4 linked regions of the Danio rerio genome follow. The protein of the gene in region 1 interacts with the protein of each later gene in a biochemical or structural test. Links are inferred from orthologs where the notes say so. Each region holds a gene or a part of one and is shown in the gene's direction. Other genes may lie near its edges.

Region 1 (3,500 bases):
AACCATCACATGATCTCTTTTAACAAAATAACAACCTTTTTTTTCTGGAATCTTTTCTTGTCAAATAAAATTGATTCTACTCGGTTATGTGCATACATTTTTTATGCGCATTTTCAAAATTGATGGCCATCATGGCGTTTCCGGCAGCTGATTTTTTTTTATTTTGATGCCCATATTCAAAATAGTTTGGATGGAAATGTAGCTACTGGTTTAATTTGTTAGTGAGAGAAACATATGCTTTTGCCAGGCGCCAAAACAATTATGATGAAAAGGATATGAAACCTCTAATAAGATGTTAATTTGATTCTCATTTTTGAAAACAGACTTGTGGTTTTGCCAAATTTAAGGGCCTGTTTACATCTGGTGTTAAGATGCACTTTTGTTGATCCAGCTTCAAGTGGACAATGATAAATAGCAGTGCAAAGTAAGTTCTGAAAGGTTTTAAGCTTGTCCACTTGTAGTTGAATGTGCTCAATCAGGCCACCTATTCTCTGACTACTGCCGTAATTCTTAAACAATATAGGACATGTTGCTGAAGCTCACTAACCATATAAGAATTAAACTTTGCTCTCTGAAATCGGACGTTTGATTTGAAGGTGAAATAAAATGTAAAAAGCATAATGTTTTACAGAATTAGATTATTTTTTACCAGCAAAATTTTGTAGCTGTTAGAGATCTGAAAACCCCATACATACTAGGCATGGGCCAGTATAAGTTCCTGACGTTATGATAACCTTCACGGTATTGTAATTACTGCTCTAAAATAAGTTGTTTTAATTATTTTTTTAAATATCTGGGTATAAAACTAAATCTTTTACCCATTGAAAATTTTATTTTATTTAAGAAACATTTATAATATTTTGGAAACATGTCAGGCTAAATAATTAAAATTATCATTGACTTCTCTCTTCATTTGTTTCATAAGCACAGATTTCTTTACAACACATTTAAAAAAATACTTTATAAAAACCTTAGATATACTTTAGGAATGGTAAAACAGAAAATATTTGCAGTTTTAAATCTTTGACTTTTGCAAACTGCAGGAAACCTTGAAAGCGTTTTTTGTCCCAGGCCCAATACGTACACCTGTTTTAGGAATGGAAAGGAAAGACGGATAAATGTGTTGGCTGTAATTTCTACATTTGTAGACTTGAAACAATTCAATAAAACACATTTTGATGCCAGATGTAAAAGTTTATCTGGAACATTATTATTTTTTTACTGTACAGAGACATTTTGCTTTTAATGACTGTACTTTTTGTTATGAAGTAAACTCGCTTTCAACTCGCATGATGAAATTCATGAAAATTGCTGTTAAAGTAACAGTATTTAGGCACTACTACTCGCACTTTCCTGCGAAAAATATATTTCTTCTTGTTTTCCAGATGTCCAGCTCGCCGCTGTCCAAGAAGCGTCGCGTGTCAGGATCAGAGACGAAGACGGGATCCCATTGCTCCTCCTCTAACTCTGTCAGAACTGAACTGTCACACACACCAGCTAACGTATGTTCAAGTCAATACTTGTTTTGAACACCACTGGGGCTTGAACATATTTAGAGAATTTTATCTTCATTCTTTACTGCGCTTGTGTTTTTTGAAAGGCAGCCAGTTTCATAAGTTATGTGCATGGCTATTTATAGTCTGCTAACTGTGGTTTTGGTCTCTGCAGGGCATGGCTAAGAATGGAAATGATGCTGAGATCGACGAGGGCCTGTACTCCAGACAGCTGTGAGTCTGGCCTGCATTTTAGTTTGATGTATCATAATGTTTTTTTGAGCAAGCAAACCTGATCATGTGAGCAGAAGCTAAATTTAGTATACGTTTCTCAGGTACGTGCTGGGTCATGATGCTATGAAGCGTATGCAGAGCTCTAATGTTCTTATCTCGGGACTGCGAGGTTTAGGGGTAGAGATCGCTAAGAATGTCATTCTGGGTGGAGTCAAAAGCGTCACCCTGCACGATCAGGGAGTGGCCGAGTGGAAGGACCTTTCATCACAGGTCAGTGGTTGGTCATGAGTCATAACTGTAACTGTGTGAAAGCAAAACAGCCCTTGCTGATAGTTTTGTGCGTTGAGTAAGGGGCTAAAATTACGTTTAAAAAAAAAAAGTCTACAAACAACAATTAAATTACACCGTCATTCATAGTTTGGGTTCAGATTTTGAAAGGTTTATTCAAAAATCTGAGTTTGATTTTTATTGTTTTGCTATGAAATGCTGTTCTTTGTATTGAGGAAAATGTATTTTTCCACCAAAAATATTAATCTGCACTATTTTCAGTATTGATATTGACATGTTTTTTTTTTAATAGATAATTACAAAATATGCATTATTTTAAGGATCCTGTGATACTGAAAACAATGAATGCCTGCTGAAAGTTGGGCTTTGCTATCACATGAATTAATGTTTAACAAATATATTTCAATAGAGGAAAATATTATTTAAAAGTTTAATTTGTGAAAGAATTTGTCATTGCATGTGAGAGTGTATGGATGTTTCCCAGTACTGGGTTGCAGGAGGAAGGGCATCCGCTGTGTAAAACATGCTGGATAAGTTGGCAGTTTATTACCCCTTTCTCTTGGCCCTTGAAACAGAGTGTTAAGGGGAAGGGCTTCAAAATTTATCTCTAAGAAATGGGACACCACTACAACACCTGCACACGTCATCATGAGCTCTTGCTTCATATGAGATTGATGAAGGCGACTGCTGTAGTTATACCAGTTGCGTTTTTTTTGTGGTATTTATCTTCAGCATATCATTGAAGGCATATATTATGTTAAAATGATATAATGTAGCAATTAGCTTGTAACTGTACTGTGCTTTTACACCGTGGCCATAATCATCTATGTAAACACGCGCAAACAACATTAACATTATATAAAAGGTCATTCACAGCCACTAGAAATTTCTTACAGGCTGTTCGTGTGTCATCGAGTGACAGAATGTTGTGGGACTGCTATACAGGAGTTAATATTAGGCATTATTGATGCTAAAATTTACTGTGATTTTTATTTTTTAAAGCATGATGGTAAAACTTGAAGGCTGTTATGAATGTATTAAAACGTGTTTGTCGTAAAAATTCGTAATAATGACAAAAAATATGAATTTGTGCATCTCCTGATTCCGGGTGAAGATATGCTGCCATTGTAGAATTGGGATGAAAAAAAAATTAAATGAATGAATAAACGTGTACGTCAGTTCAAAATATTACTGTTATTATTATTATTATTATTATTATATATAGATTTTTTTAAAGGCAATGTTGGTGAGCACAAGAGACTTTTTCTAAAATAATTTTTAAAATCTTACCAAACCCAAACTTTTGTACTGTTCTCTACATAAACAAATGAAAAAAAATCCATATATTGTTTCTGGAAGTGTAAGAATAAACATTAATAATCTACAGTAGTAGAAATACAATTTTGTTTGCTTCATGTTCCTAGTTTTACCTGCGTGAGGAGGATCTTGGGAAGAACCGTGCTGATGTCAGTCAGCCTCGACTGG
Region 2 (4,281 bases), on another chromosome or scaffold:
CTTACAGGAAGGCCTGTTGCACAGAAATATGTTTGACCCAGTAGCCCAGCACAGGGACTGGTGTCCTTGGGTGAGTGTGGAAAAAGAGGAGGACAATCAGGACGCCTCTGAATTTGTTGGCTGTGAAGCAGAGCTCCCTCAACCAGGCTGGAAAGCAGTGCTTGCCCTGTTTTTATCCATGAAACAAAGCCTCAATCCAGTGGGAGCCAGTCCATCACAGGTGAACCATATTCAACATATCTGCATTTTGTTGAAATTATTAAACACTTTTCATTCCTGTGACACTCTGTTTTTACTTTTCATTCAGGGTCCTCATGACAAATCAAAAAGGGTATTTTCAATATTTCGACAGTGGCAGGTGTCATCCCCATCCCAGTAGTGTGTGTTGGACTGGGAAAGCCTGCTGATGTTAACCTAGTGGTACGCTGCTCTTTGTAATATTTACAGTAGTTTCATATCCGAGTGTTTCTTGATCATGTGAGTCTTGTTTACAGTAATGGGTTTGGTTGGGACGGTAAATCCACACGGATTGAGCTGGATTGTGCTGAAAGATCTCATTTTGGAGCAGAAAAGCCTGGCAGAGTTCTTCTAGAAATTGTAACTTAACCACACTGTTTTGAATTCTGGGTCTGTCTGTTCGGCCTTTGAGCAACAACAAACCAAAGCTCTTTACATCTCATGGACTGCCAAATAGTCCATTACCACCTTATTACACTGGACAACATGGTAGTTGGATCAAAAACTAACACTTTTCATATTATAGTATAGCTAAGGGGAACCAGTGTTTGCAGGCTTGTCTTTTTTTTGGCATTTTAAAGTAAGTATTCCATAAATGTGAATGGACGAACACTTTTATGTATAATTTATGACCTATCTTTTACGCATATACCAGCTGAAATAGATGCCACATTTAGAAAAGGAGTGCCAATTTTTTTGGTTTTGAGCAGCAAGTTCTTTCTCTAGTGTCCTGCATTGTGCATGCAAATATCTGCTTAAATCTAATAAAAATAATCCTTTTGCTGGTTTCCACCATGTACGTCTTGTCATACTTTTGTCTTAAAAGGATACACCAACTTAACATTTGACTGCTGTGGCTTTTACACACTTGTAAAATGCAGTGTTGTTATGTTACAAGAAAATTGTGTCTCATTATCAGTGTTGACCATCAAAACTGTAATAGCGTTTAAAGACAAGAAGTGTGTTGATTTAAAATACATCATAACAGAGGGGGTTTGACCACCATAGTTGTCTTTATAGCTAACTAAAAACTACCATTTTGAACGTACTACAAATTTGAGTCGTCCCCTTGTTTATGACACGTCCAAAACACCGCATAGGAGGAGGGGGACACCTTTCGTCGCGCAGACATGACGTCATCGGCGGAGGGATAGATAGCTGTGAGAGAGAGAGAGCAGTGCGGGCAGAGGACTACCAGTACTATCCGCTGCGGACAGAAAGTGGAGGGCGAAAAATAACTCTCCAAACGACAGCTTGCCGTATGCCAATGTTCAAAAATACTCAGTTTCGGTAGAGGCCAAGGGATCGAGAATCAGTCGCAGAAGATTTGAGCATCGGTCATCTGAAAGAGGAGTGTATAAAGATGTCGTCTCCAAGTCCGGGCAAAAGACGAATGGACACCGACGTGGTGAAACTGTATCCTTTAAAATATAAACAACACAATTACTGTAACGCTGTGGCCGTCAAATATGTCAGATATTCACCGAATCAGCCTTAAAATGCATCTCCTGCTGGTTTTAAACAATTATACGCGTCCGTCTGCTCAGAAAAACAGTTGTCAAAGCCAGTGTAATGGTTTGTTAGATGGTGATCAGCTTTTGACAACAAAAGTGTTTTGATGGTTGTCAGTGCGGCCAGCAACAAAGGCAAGAATAACTGAGGCTTATTTTGAAAATAACACAACTCAGCTAAAAAAATCAGATTTTTCTCGACGGGATTTGTTCGTTGTCAGTGTTGAAAGGGGGAAATGTTGCTCTGTGTCCTTTGAGTGTTTTGTCATCGCCTTTCTCTTCAAATCCATGCCAACGTTTGACATCCACAGGATTCAAGCACATATTTATATAGATACCAGTCGGATATATTTATTTATATGCTCTCTGACAAATCCAGACGTGTTTTTGACCAAAATGGTGATTGTTACTTTCCATTTGGCCTGCTAGCGAGCTAGCACAACCTCAGAAGCCAGTTATTTATTTATTTGTTGATTGTTTTTGTTGCTGTTTTATCATGAAAACGGACAATTATACGCATTTAAACATCGTCAATCGCTTGTTTATTTATAGTACACGAAAACAACGAGATATTCATGTGCAGTTTGTTTGTTTAGATGCAACGCTCTTTAAATAACAACAAATCTGAAATGCCAAACTTCAAACTCGGCGTCATTGTATAACCCTGTCTCAATGTGTTTTTCTCTCATATGGAGGATCCATCTTGCTTTGGCTTTTGTTAAGGTCTAATGTTCTCGTTTGAGGGTTACATGTTTTGACAGGAAATTTACCATATTTTTGTTCGCATTTTAAAGCTCTCGAGAACAAGGGAAGTTATGTTGTTGTTATATTGACTGGGTGCGGATGTTTGTCTCTGTCACCACTCCACAAGAATCCCTTTAGTTTACTTGACATAAATGACACACGCACCAAAAGTTTTGTAGAGTTGTTTTCGTCCGCTTTTGCTCAAGACAAGCCGTTTGGTATTATGCGTGCAACATGCCTTCATGCGCAGTGTGTGGTTTGGCTGTGCTGTCAGTGCGTTTTGTCATTGTTTTTGTCTATCTAAGCATCTAGAACACGCAGTTCCGTTGGCTTTTTAGACGTTGGGTTGATCATTTATGAAGTGCAGTTATGTCGAGTTTTTCAGAACAAAAGAAACCTGCAAAGATTTGTTTGCTTTACAGATCAGGAAAGTTTTCATGCTGTCGGGGCTTGCCATCTGTTTAGCTTGGGTCGTTTATGTGTGATTACGACGTGTGCGCATTAAAAAGTAACCCATGAAAGACTCTTTGGGATGTTGTAAAGTCCTGAAAGGATCTGGGAATGTCTCGTTATGTTTATGTCTCCAGCAGTAGGAACTAGCCGTATGATTGGCCACTCTGTTACTACCCGGAAACTGCAAGTAGGTGGGATTAAAGAGTTGAGTGACAGTATTTTTTCCTAGTTAAAGCTAGTGTATAATTTGTGCTCAGTTATTTAGATTTAAGCTATTCGCTTAGGTTTATTTCTTGAAAAATGAAAAAGTTTGAACAGGTCTGTTGTTCAAATTGTCAGGATATTTTTTCTGTTTTTAAACTTTTTTTTTTTGATCTTCAACAAGTAAAGAAAAATGTAGTTCAACAGCTGAGTATCTGGTGGAAAAACTACATTTCCCATAAATCTGTAGAAAGTGTTTACACAACATCATAATCACCTAAAATGGAACAACTTTGTGTGTGTTTGGCCATTCAGTTATATTCCGGTTGTAATTAGAGGCCTGGATATGCTTTTAAAAATACATACAGGTTTTTGTAAATGATGTTGATTTTATGCAAAAATGGTGACTTTGTGCCCATATTACATGTTCAGTCTAAAGGGTATATGCCGAGCTAGTGCTGTTCCCATGCTGATAAACTTCCGGTTACCTGTTATTGTTAGGTTTTTTTTCCATTTTAAATGATACCTTATACAGCATCGATGCTGTAATATAGTTAAAACACAATCAGTTAAATAGACTCTGGCATTCATTTAGTTGCTCAAGTGTAAAACGAGGTTAGCGCAGAAGCTCCATTGAATATACTGGGGTAATATAAATGCTCATATTTTAAAGACATGGCGGGGGAAAATGTAATTTAATGCAGTGCTTCTTGTACAATCTGAGACCCACTTTATATCGGATATCACTCAGCCCATGAAAATCGCTGATTTTTAAAAACAGACTTTAAACGCGCCGTTTTTGCAATGGCAAACAGTTCATCGGAAGGGCTTAACCCAGGTTAAAAGTCCTATTAGCATGCTTCGGCATATACCCTATTGACCTTATTCCTCGCGTATGAGCGGGCACAGCTATTTGAATCTCTTTAGATTGAGACTTCCAGTCTCATTCACTTACGTATATTTTTAGACGTTAAAAACAACTCGTTCTTAGTCGTCTCACACATGATTTTCGCCGCTGGTCTCTTCTCCCATTATCAATGGCAGGCAGAATCAGCTGCGTAAAGATGAATGTACTCCCTAAATTCTTATACCTTTTTCAGTGTATTCCAATTTTTATCCCAAAATCTTTTTTCGC
Region 3 (3,936 bases), on another chromosome or scaffold:
ATATTGTCTTATTTTAAGAAATAATATGCCAAAATAAAGTGAGTTTTTTCTTAAATCAAGCAAAATAATCTGCCAATGGGATAAGCAAAATAATCTTATCACAAATCAAAAAACACGATTACTTTGCTCACCCCATTGGCAGATTATTTTGCTTGATTTAAGAAAAAACTCACTTTATTTTGGCATATTATTTCTTAAAACACGACAATAAGTTTTGCTTGTCTAGAAAATGCTTCTTGATTTAAAAATTTGTAGATATTTGGGCTAGAAACAATACAAAAAATCTAAGTAAGAAAAGCATTTTTTGCAGTGTAGGAGGCTCAAGAGGTATGATATGGCTCATAACAGACTAATAAATGAGAAATGGGTTAATTTATCAATTTTTTTCCTTTTTGGTATTACAAGTCACAAAGCTTTACAATTTATTGTTAAAAGACAACTACAAAAAACTTTATTTATCATTAAACCATGTATAATCCTATTATTAAGAGTGGAGTAGATCACCCTTTGAAAGTGGGGGTATTTTAGTAGGTTGAATTACAACTTCTTTCTTTGACTTCTTTGGGGTTAATCCCTTTCCCTTTCCCTTTCAACCCTAACAACACCCTGATTTCCCCAAAATTGTAGTAGTTGGTTACTTTCTGAACTTAGATTCTTCTCTTTGAAAATTTATTATTAATTTATAGCTTTTTCTGGCTAATTTTTACATCCCTAAATGTAAAATTTCAAAGAAACACCCCTATTTTTATTTTCAGAAAGGACTTTGATTTATATGTGAACTCCTTAAAAGAGTGTAAATTGCACGTAAAACTCTTTCTTGTTGTGAAGCATTTAATTTGTTTAATTTCCTGTGATTTTATGTATGTAACCCTTTTTGTCTTTTTATTAATATTGTGTCTTTGTAAATGTTCTTTCTTGCATAATAAAAATAAATGCATATTATTATTATTATGTAATTTTCTTTCTTTTATATGTTGGATAATACAAGAGGACTGTCATACAGAAGACGAAGAATGGTCAACCACACATTCACCTAAGAAAAACACAATTGGCGTCCCAGTAGTCCACGCAGATCTCGATCACCCACTTCCCCTCTCTCGCAGTATTTCTTGGCGGGCGTTGTTTTGTCGTCTCTCCGGCCTCCAGTTCGCCTCTCTCTCCCCGCCCCCTCTTTGTTGTTTCTCTCCTCCAGCCTCCCTCCGCCGCCGCGCGCTCACACACACGCACTCTCGCTGGATCAGCTGCGCGCTCGCGGTCTCCGTGCGTCCCTTCCCCCCGCGGCCTGGCTGCTGATGAGATGAGTGGAAGATGTCGGTGTCGGGGCTGAAGGCCGAATTAAAGTTCCTGGAGTCAATCTTTGACCCAAACCATGAGCGATTTCGAATAATCGACTGGAAGCCAGACGAACTGAGCTGCCAGTTTAATGTGACGGGAGAAAAGCTGCTGATTATTCACTGCAACATCACGGTAAGATCCACCAGCCCCGTGTGTAGGTTTACATGCGAACAAGGCAAGGCCGAGTGAAACAACACCACCCACAAGCCCCTGTTTGCTCGAATAAAGCCATGATAGTGCGAATAAAAGCATTTAGGGTGATCAATGTTCAGTTTTATAATCAAAAAGATGTCAAAATCACTGCTAAACAAGCAGCGCGAGCTACGCTTAGCTTGCTGGTGTATTAGCTAACAAAGTTAACTGCGTTTGCTCTCGGTTTCACTTTGTTGGCTTAATAAAACCATCAGCTAATCGTCAGCGTTATTTATTCTTGTGTACAGGAGATGGTTGACCAAGACCGGTGGATGTTTTGCATTCTGCGTCACTTTAAATTAGTTGTCATGTAATTAGCTTGTGTGCTAATTTGGCTTAGCTGGTAGTTTAGCTTGCTAAACGACGTTTTGGGGTGAACTTATTTTTTAAAATCTTTTTATCGCGGATTTGGGATGTTGTTTGTGGATTATTTATCGAGCATTGAAACATTTTGTGTAAACACAACAGTTTGTTAAATCCTCGGCTAGCTAATTTCGCAATTTGTTTAGCTGGTTTGTCGAAGTTCTCCGTTCAGCTAACTTGGGCCTGCTACGAAATGCGTAGATTTAAAATGCTCGAAGTTTGTTCAGTTTTTCGCCATGTAAATGATTTTATCATAAATGTATAATATTTTCGTAACTGTTAATGTTGCCTTACATGTGCTAGCAACATTAGCGCGTTTTCAGTCATCGCGTTTATTTGCCATTTCGCATCTTTGAGCGAAATCTGCATGTATGTTGAGTGTATGCTAACTGCACTACATTATGAAGGAGTGTTGTCATCAGAACCTACATTGTTTTTGCAAAACGACGCCACTGCAGTGCAACTGGCTGCTGTTTTTTGTGTGTTCTAGAGGCCAGTTAGTTTGCTGAGCTTGTATACTGATTTGAGGTGCTATGAGGTCAGTTTATGGTCCTGACAAGCAAAAGAATATCACATCGCCATCATTTTGGCTCTCCCTTGATGGAAGACACAATGGGAGGAGATTTCTAACTAGTGGATGAGAACATAATGTTCACATGATTTTACGTGGAAGATCATCAGCTCTGACAAACACTTCTCTGAAATAAACAACACTGCGCGGGTCTGCTGTGGTCTTTTCTCATTGAGAGAAGAAGCTGCAGAGTTTGATTCATTGGTTTGGCATCTGTTAATGTGGCTGTTTGTCATGCAAGTGGCTGAACTGAAATGAGAAGACTTTAGCAACCTTGTGAAAGGACAAATGGGTTTGATACGGGTATGAAGATGCTGATTTTGTTACTCTTGATGTTTTTGTAGGAGTCTTATCCTTCAACACCACCAATATGGTTTGTTGATTCTGATGATCCAAGTCTGACTGAAGTCCTTGAACGACTGGAGGATGTCAGAAAAGGCAATGCTTTGGTAAGGAAGTGTTTTTTTCCCACTTGAGATGGTAATGAGATGGTATTTTGATGCTTGATTGGTGGCTGTTAATTTTTTACCCTGTAGACAATTAATACTTTTATTTCATCTTGATAGAACTGTAGCAAATACACTTAAAAATACATATATTAAGCAGCATAACGGTTTTTGAGAATTGAAACAGAATTTTTATTGACCCCAATAAGGATTGTTTAAAAGTAAAAAGTAAGATAAAAGTATAAAAGTAAAACTTAAATTTAATATCATTTTAGTTTAGGCAATGTATAATTGCATGCTAAAGTTTGCCTGAATTATATCTATGAATATAAGGATGCTGTGTAGTTTATGAAATCATTGAAGTCCTACTAGATTTGAAATTATGGTGATTTGTTTACTGCAGTTACCAATGCAACACCATTATTTCTGCAATTCTATAGGTGCCAACCTGCTAAATTAGCTAGATTTAATATAATTTTTTCAGTATATGAATATTGTTTTAGTTTTGGATTAATTTCTTACATTAATATTTAATTAATATACTGTAATTTAAAATCTCACTAGTGTTTACGGTTGAAAAGTGGTTATATTGTCTTAAAGTGGATGGAAAGAGTCTTATGGTGCTTTCACACCTGTGAATCGATTCAGTTGTTCCGAAACAGAGATTACAATCGTTACATTGCTTTTGGAGCGGTTCGCTTTCACACTACAAAGTTTCTAATCGGACCAAAGGAGCTAAAACAAGTCACGTGCGAGTAAACTCTCCTTACATTGGTCAGAGTGTCAGGGTTCATTTTCCAGCATCCCGCTAAACTGTCAGGAGAGGTGGTGGTTTGGTGGTGATTGACAGGGTGCGCGTGCGACGTGTCTGAGGAGAGATGCGGTGGGGAGGGGTGAGAAGGGTGCATAACAATGCCTATTTAAGGATCGGGAGGGAGACGCGAGATTACCGGGAGTTCATCACTCGTTTTCGACTCACGAAACTTCCCACCCTACTCATAATTCTCTCTTCATATAGCCATAAGCCTA
Region 4 (3,950 bases), on another chromosome or scaffold:
ATATATAATACAAACTTTAATATTTTTGACAGTTAATGTTGTAATAAAAATGAATCAATCACTGCAGGAGACCTTTATTAACCAGCTGTTGATTAGCTCACAAATCTATTCATAGAGTTGTGAGCACTGTATTGTGGATGGATGAACTGTATTGGACTTGTTTTGGATCCTAGATACAAAACAGTCATTATCTGCCATTGTACAGCTTGAAACTGTCAGAAGCTATATTTTTATATCTTCAAATTGGCTAAAAGAAGAAAGTCACACAGATGCTATGGGGTGAGTAAATAAAGGGCTGATTTTCTTTTTAATGTGAATAAGGGTTTTTCATCTGTTGAACATGATGGAAAATGATTTCAGGCCTGTAACTGGCCTATTGAATAGAGTGTTTTTTTTATTATTATTTCTGAATAAGTGGACTTTTTTGCAAGTATTCTTCTCGATTTTCTATTTAATTATGCGTTTTACTGGCATTTTAAGAACTAATCTTTGATCAGCTTTCCGGATGGTGATCGTAACCGTTGTTAAAGTGCTTACCATAGTAGGCTATTTTACTAAGAAGCTTTTATTTTCAAATTTATAAACCTGTAAGTTAATTAAGATTTATAAATATTGTTATGAGATTAACATTTAAAAAAAATAAAAAGAAATATGGAAAAAGTTGTTAATAATTTATTATTATCCATAATTTAAAAAAAATATATATAGGAATCTAGTAAAACTTGTTTAAAAATAAAAACTATATGGTCAAATAAAAAATGGCCAGCTCATTAAACTGTCCTTAGTCAGAATTTGGCCACTTAATCAAAATTATAATTAAAAGTTAAATGTGTCTAAAAGCCGCCGCCTTTCTGTACTTTCTACAATTTATGATGGCGTAGTAGTCAAAAATATGATGTTGCCATGGTAACAGAAATAACAACGTAATCTGAGACTAATAAAAACTTTGGATAGTTTCCGTAAACTGATATAGATGAAACGCTTGCAAATGTACGCGTCTCGTGCTAACTTTTACTAATAAATTAACCAATAACTATTATAAGGCGTGTCTTACGCCTGACATCGTGTGTATGTCGCATGTTAAATAAATACATTATAATTCTTCACAGGAGTGCACCACTAGACGACGCTGTTTCCACCCAAACGAGGAGGAAGTGAAGAGAAATGAAACAACATTTATAAACAGGCCTGGCCGAGCGAGGAGAAACTACGTTTACGGGCGTTTAGACACTGTTACTCATTGATGTGAACGTTGAATGCTTCGCCGAACACTGCTAATTCGTATAAAACGTTAAACTTAGTTCCTCCTTTGAGATAGGTCGTTATAATAGTTGAGGTCGGAAGAGGGAAACGGGAGAATATGTAGGAGTTATTTCTCGTCCTGCCCTCCTCCACTTGCTTCCGAGCGAGGAGAAACAGAAACTGCAAAGGAAACTGATTGAACTGACAGCTGGTCAAACAGTTTGCGGCTCTTCGGTCTCATCGGCGATGGCGGACAGCGTTACGGAGGAGGCCAACGGTTCCGTGGGGGCGGCGCAGGGCCACGGAGCGCAGTTGTCCGCGAGTTTGGGTAATTCTATACCGGGGCATTCATCAGCCTCACCGCCTCCGGCAGACACCGGCCTGGCTGTGGTCGAGCCCGGGATGGCGCATACCATCACTCCGGCCGTGGAGAGCGGGCTCGGTGTGCTCACCCATGCGGTCAGTTCCACAGTCCCCGTGGCCGTTCTTCCATCCCTGCCGCCCGGTATCGGTTCTGGAGTCCCGGCCGGAGCGGGCCTCCTGTCTCAAATTCACGCCACCTCCTGGGATCCCACGTTAAGCACCGACTGGGACAACGAAAAGGCGTCTCAGCAGTGTATTCTCCGAATAAAAAGGTAACGATAGACTGTCTTGAAGTGTCAGAGTTTGTTTAGGGAAATTTAAGAGAAGTTTTATGTCAGCCTCTTTGCGATTGAAAAGTAAATATTAATGCTGAATGAACTTAATCGATTCAATTTGTAGCTGTCATTTTGTGCTGCTGGCATGGAAATAGTGGACCAAAGCAATAACACATTGTTAAACATTTTTAGATTTTTTATTTTGATGGAACGTTTACTTAATAAAATTTTATTTCAATCCTAAATATACATGTCTTGGTTAAGCCTTTAATAAAATGTTGAGGAATTTAGGTCAAATTAATAAATAGTGATAACCTTAAAATGAAATCATTCAAAAATTTATTGTTATTATACGAAGTTGTTTTTCATTCTAGTTGGGTGTTCTCTGCAAGTCAAAATGTGTGAGGGCTTAATCTTTTATTGTATTGATGCTTTAAAAGCTAAAGTTGTACATTTAATTAAGCAATGTTATTTTCAATAAACCATATGCTTTGGAACTTTCAATTCATCAAACACCATTCTCTGCTGTTGGATAAGGAGATATTTAGGCTTTGAGCGTCCAGAACACAGCTATATAAATGTGAGAAATTATTATTAATTATATATTTCCATCTTCGATATGGATTGTTTACTTCCATAAACCGTGGCAAATGTATAAATAGTAGACTTTATAATATATGTGTAATTAATTTTTTAAAAAGCAATTGAGTTATGGCAAATTAATAAATAAGACTTTAAACAGTAGTCAAATGGCATTAAAATATTATAAATATGAAAGTTTTAAAAATAAATATATTAATTGTTTAAAGTTAAGTTGTTGTTTTGTTTTTTCTAATTCATTTACATCTTAGTTGTGCACACCTTTCTTCAGTATTAATGGCTGTTGCATACAAAACTGAACATTAAACACACCAATAGTAACTTACTTTATCTGAGTGCAAAGTGTGATTCAGACATCCACCCAACTAGTTATCACTACATTTTGCATTTTAAGTAGAGAAAAAGATTAAGCCAACATCAAGTCCATCTGTACTACCTTGCATGCTGAAACCTTTTTAAGCCCACTGTTACAAGCATATTTGCAGATTAATTTGTTGTGGGCATGTTGCTTTTGAGACACAGTGAGTGTTGCCACTTTTGGGAATTGTCACTTGGCAATGACTTTGGCCTGGGCAATATTTTGATAGATGTCCCCAGAGGACTAATAATGGAAATGTGGACACAAAACCAATGCACTCAGTTACAGCCAGTCAGTTTTGTTTATGTGCGGTTTGACTGTGTAATCCAGGCATTTATTGATCTGATGATTTTCTTGGCATGGTATATATGTGACTTCTGTTTCCGTCTCGTGCTTTGATAAAAGTGGAGGGTTATGTGACGGATACTTGTTTACTGGAGTAATTTCTCAGTGTTGTTAGTGATTCTCTGTCTTCTTTCCTCCATTTAGAGACATTATGTCCATTTATAAAGAACCCCCTCCAGGTATGTTTGTGGTCCCAGATCCCCATGACATGACTAAGGTAAGCAGCAACATTTCAGAGACTTGCACAGTTAGTGGTATTTCATCATATCCCACTTTCTTATGCACTCCCTCCATCCTTCCTTCTTTTGTTATAATATTAGTGAACAATAATGCTTTGCACATGCACGGTTCATGCATTGTTATCAATGTGCATTACGTTTACACTACTTATTCAGTTATAAGTTTAAATAATATAAGGGCAAAATTAAAAAAAAAAAAATTAATTATTCATTGAAGTCTGCACTGATTCTTTCTGTGAGCTTTTCAGTATGTGATGATCAAATTGTTTTTAGTTACAAGATTTTGGGGTATATAAACACTTCTGTAAATCAAAATGTGTGCCGGCTTAATCTTTTATTGTGTTGATGCTTTAAAGGGTAAAGTTATACGTTTAATTTAGCAATGTTGTTTTTAATAAACCATACTCCTTTGGGGATGTCCAGATTTGATTACCTGATCGGAAATCAGGCTCGATCACACTCTGAGTTTTAGACTTTGAATCAGACGTTACTTATCTATATATATATATATATATATATATATATATA

The links. The genes of interacting proteins can lie anywhere in the genome.
Region 2: of the proteins of uba1 (region 1) and ube2h, one has a biochemical effect on the other in vitro, tested with the Homo sapiens proteins (3 studies listed by BioGRID, with this or other methods). The link is inferred for Danio rerio from reciprocal best matches to the Homo sapiens genes UBA1 and UBE2H.
Region 3: of the proteins of uba1 (region 1) and ube2q2, one has a biochemical effect on the other in vitro, tested with the Homo sapiens proteins (3 studies listed by BioGRID). The link is inferred for Danio rerio from reciprocal best matches to the Homo sapiens genes UBA1 and UBE2Q2.
Region 4: of the proteins of uba1 (region 1) and ube2z, one has a biochemical effect on the other in vitro, tested with the Homo sapiens proteins (3 studies listed by BioGRID). The link is inferred for Danio rerio from reciprocal best matches to the Homo sapiens genes UBA1 and UBE2Z.

The regions. Positions count from the first base shown.
Region 1 is NC_133198.1:23,551,948-23,555,447, forward strand, and holds part of uba1 (ubiquitin-like modifier-activating enzyme 1), read left to right. Parts: intron 1-1,385; coding exon 1,386-1,502; intron 1,503-1,668; coding exon 1,669-1,727; intron 1,728-1,828; coding exon 1,829-1,997; intron 1,998-3,439; coding exon 3,440-3,500. UniProt on the Homo sapiens protein: Catalyzes the first step in ubiquitin conjugation to mark cellular proteins for degradation through the ubiquitin-proteasome system.
Region 2 is NC_133179.1:15,592,715-15,596,995, forward strand, and holds the start of ube2h (ubiquitin-conjugating enzyme E2 H), read left to right. Parts: upstream 1-1,481; 5' UTR 1,482-1,600; coding exon 1,601-1,653; intron 1,654-4,281. Other genes in the region: zc3hc1 (zinc finger C3HC-type protein 1), read left to right, coding at 8-220, 308-379. UniProt on the Homo sapiens protein: Accepts ubiquitin from the E1 complex and catalyzes its covalent attachment to other proteins. E2 ubiquitin conjugating enzyme that transfers ubiquitin to MAEA, a core component of the CTLH E3 ubiquitin-protein ligase complex.
Region 3 is NC_133200.1:31,836,088-31,840,023, reverse strand, and holds the start of ube2q2 (ubiquitin-conjugating enzyme E2 Q2), read left to right. Parts: upstream 1-1,136; 5' UTR 1,137-1,308; coding exon 1,309-1,467; intron 1,468-2,805; coding exon 2,806-2,910; intron 2,911-3,936.
Region 4 is NC_133178.1:22,333,959-22,337,908, reverse strand, and holds the start of ube2z (ubiquitin-conjugating enzyme E2 Z), read left to right. Parts: upstream 1-1,150; 5' UTR 1,151-1,488; coding exon 1,489-1,877; intron 1,878-3,327; coding exon 3,328-3,400; intron 3,401-3,950. UniProt on the Homo sapiens protein: Catalyzes the covalent attachment of ubiquitin to other proteins. Specific substrate for UBA6, not charged with ubiquitin by UBE1. May be involved in apoptosis regulation.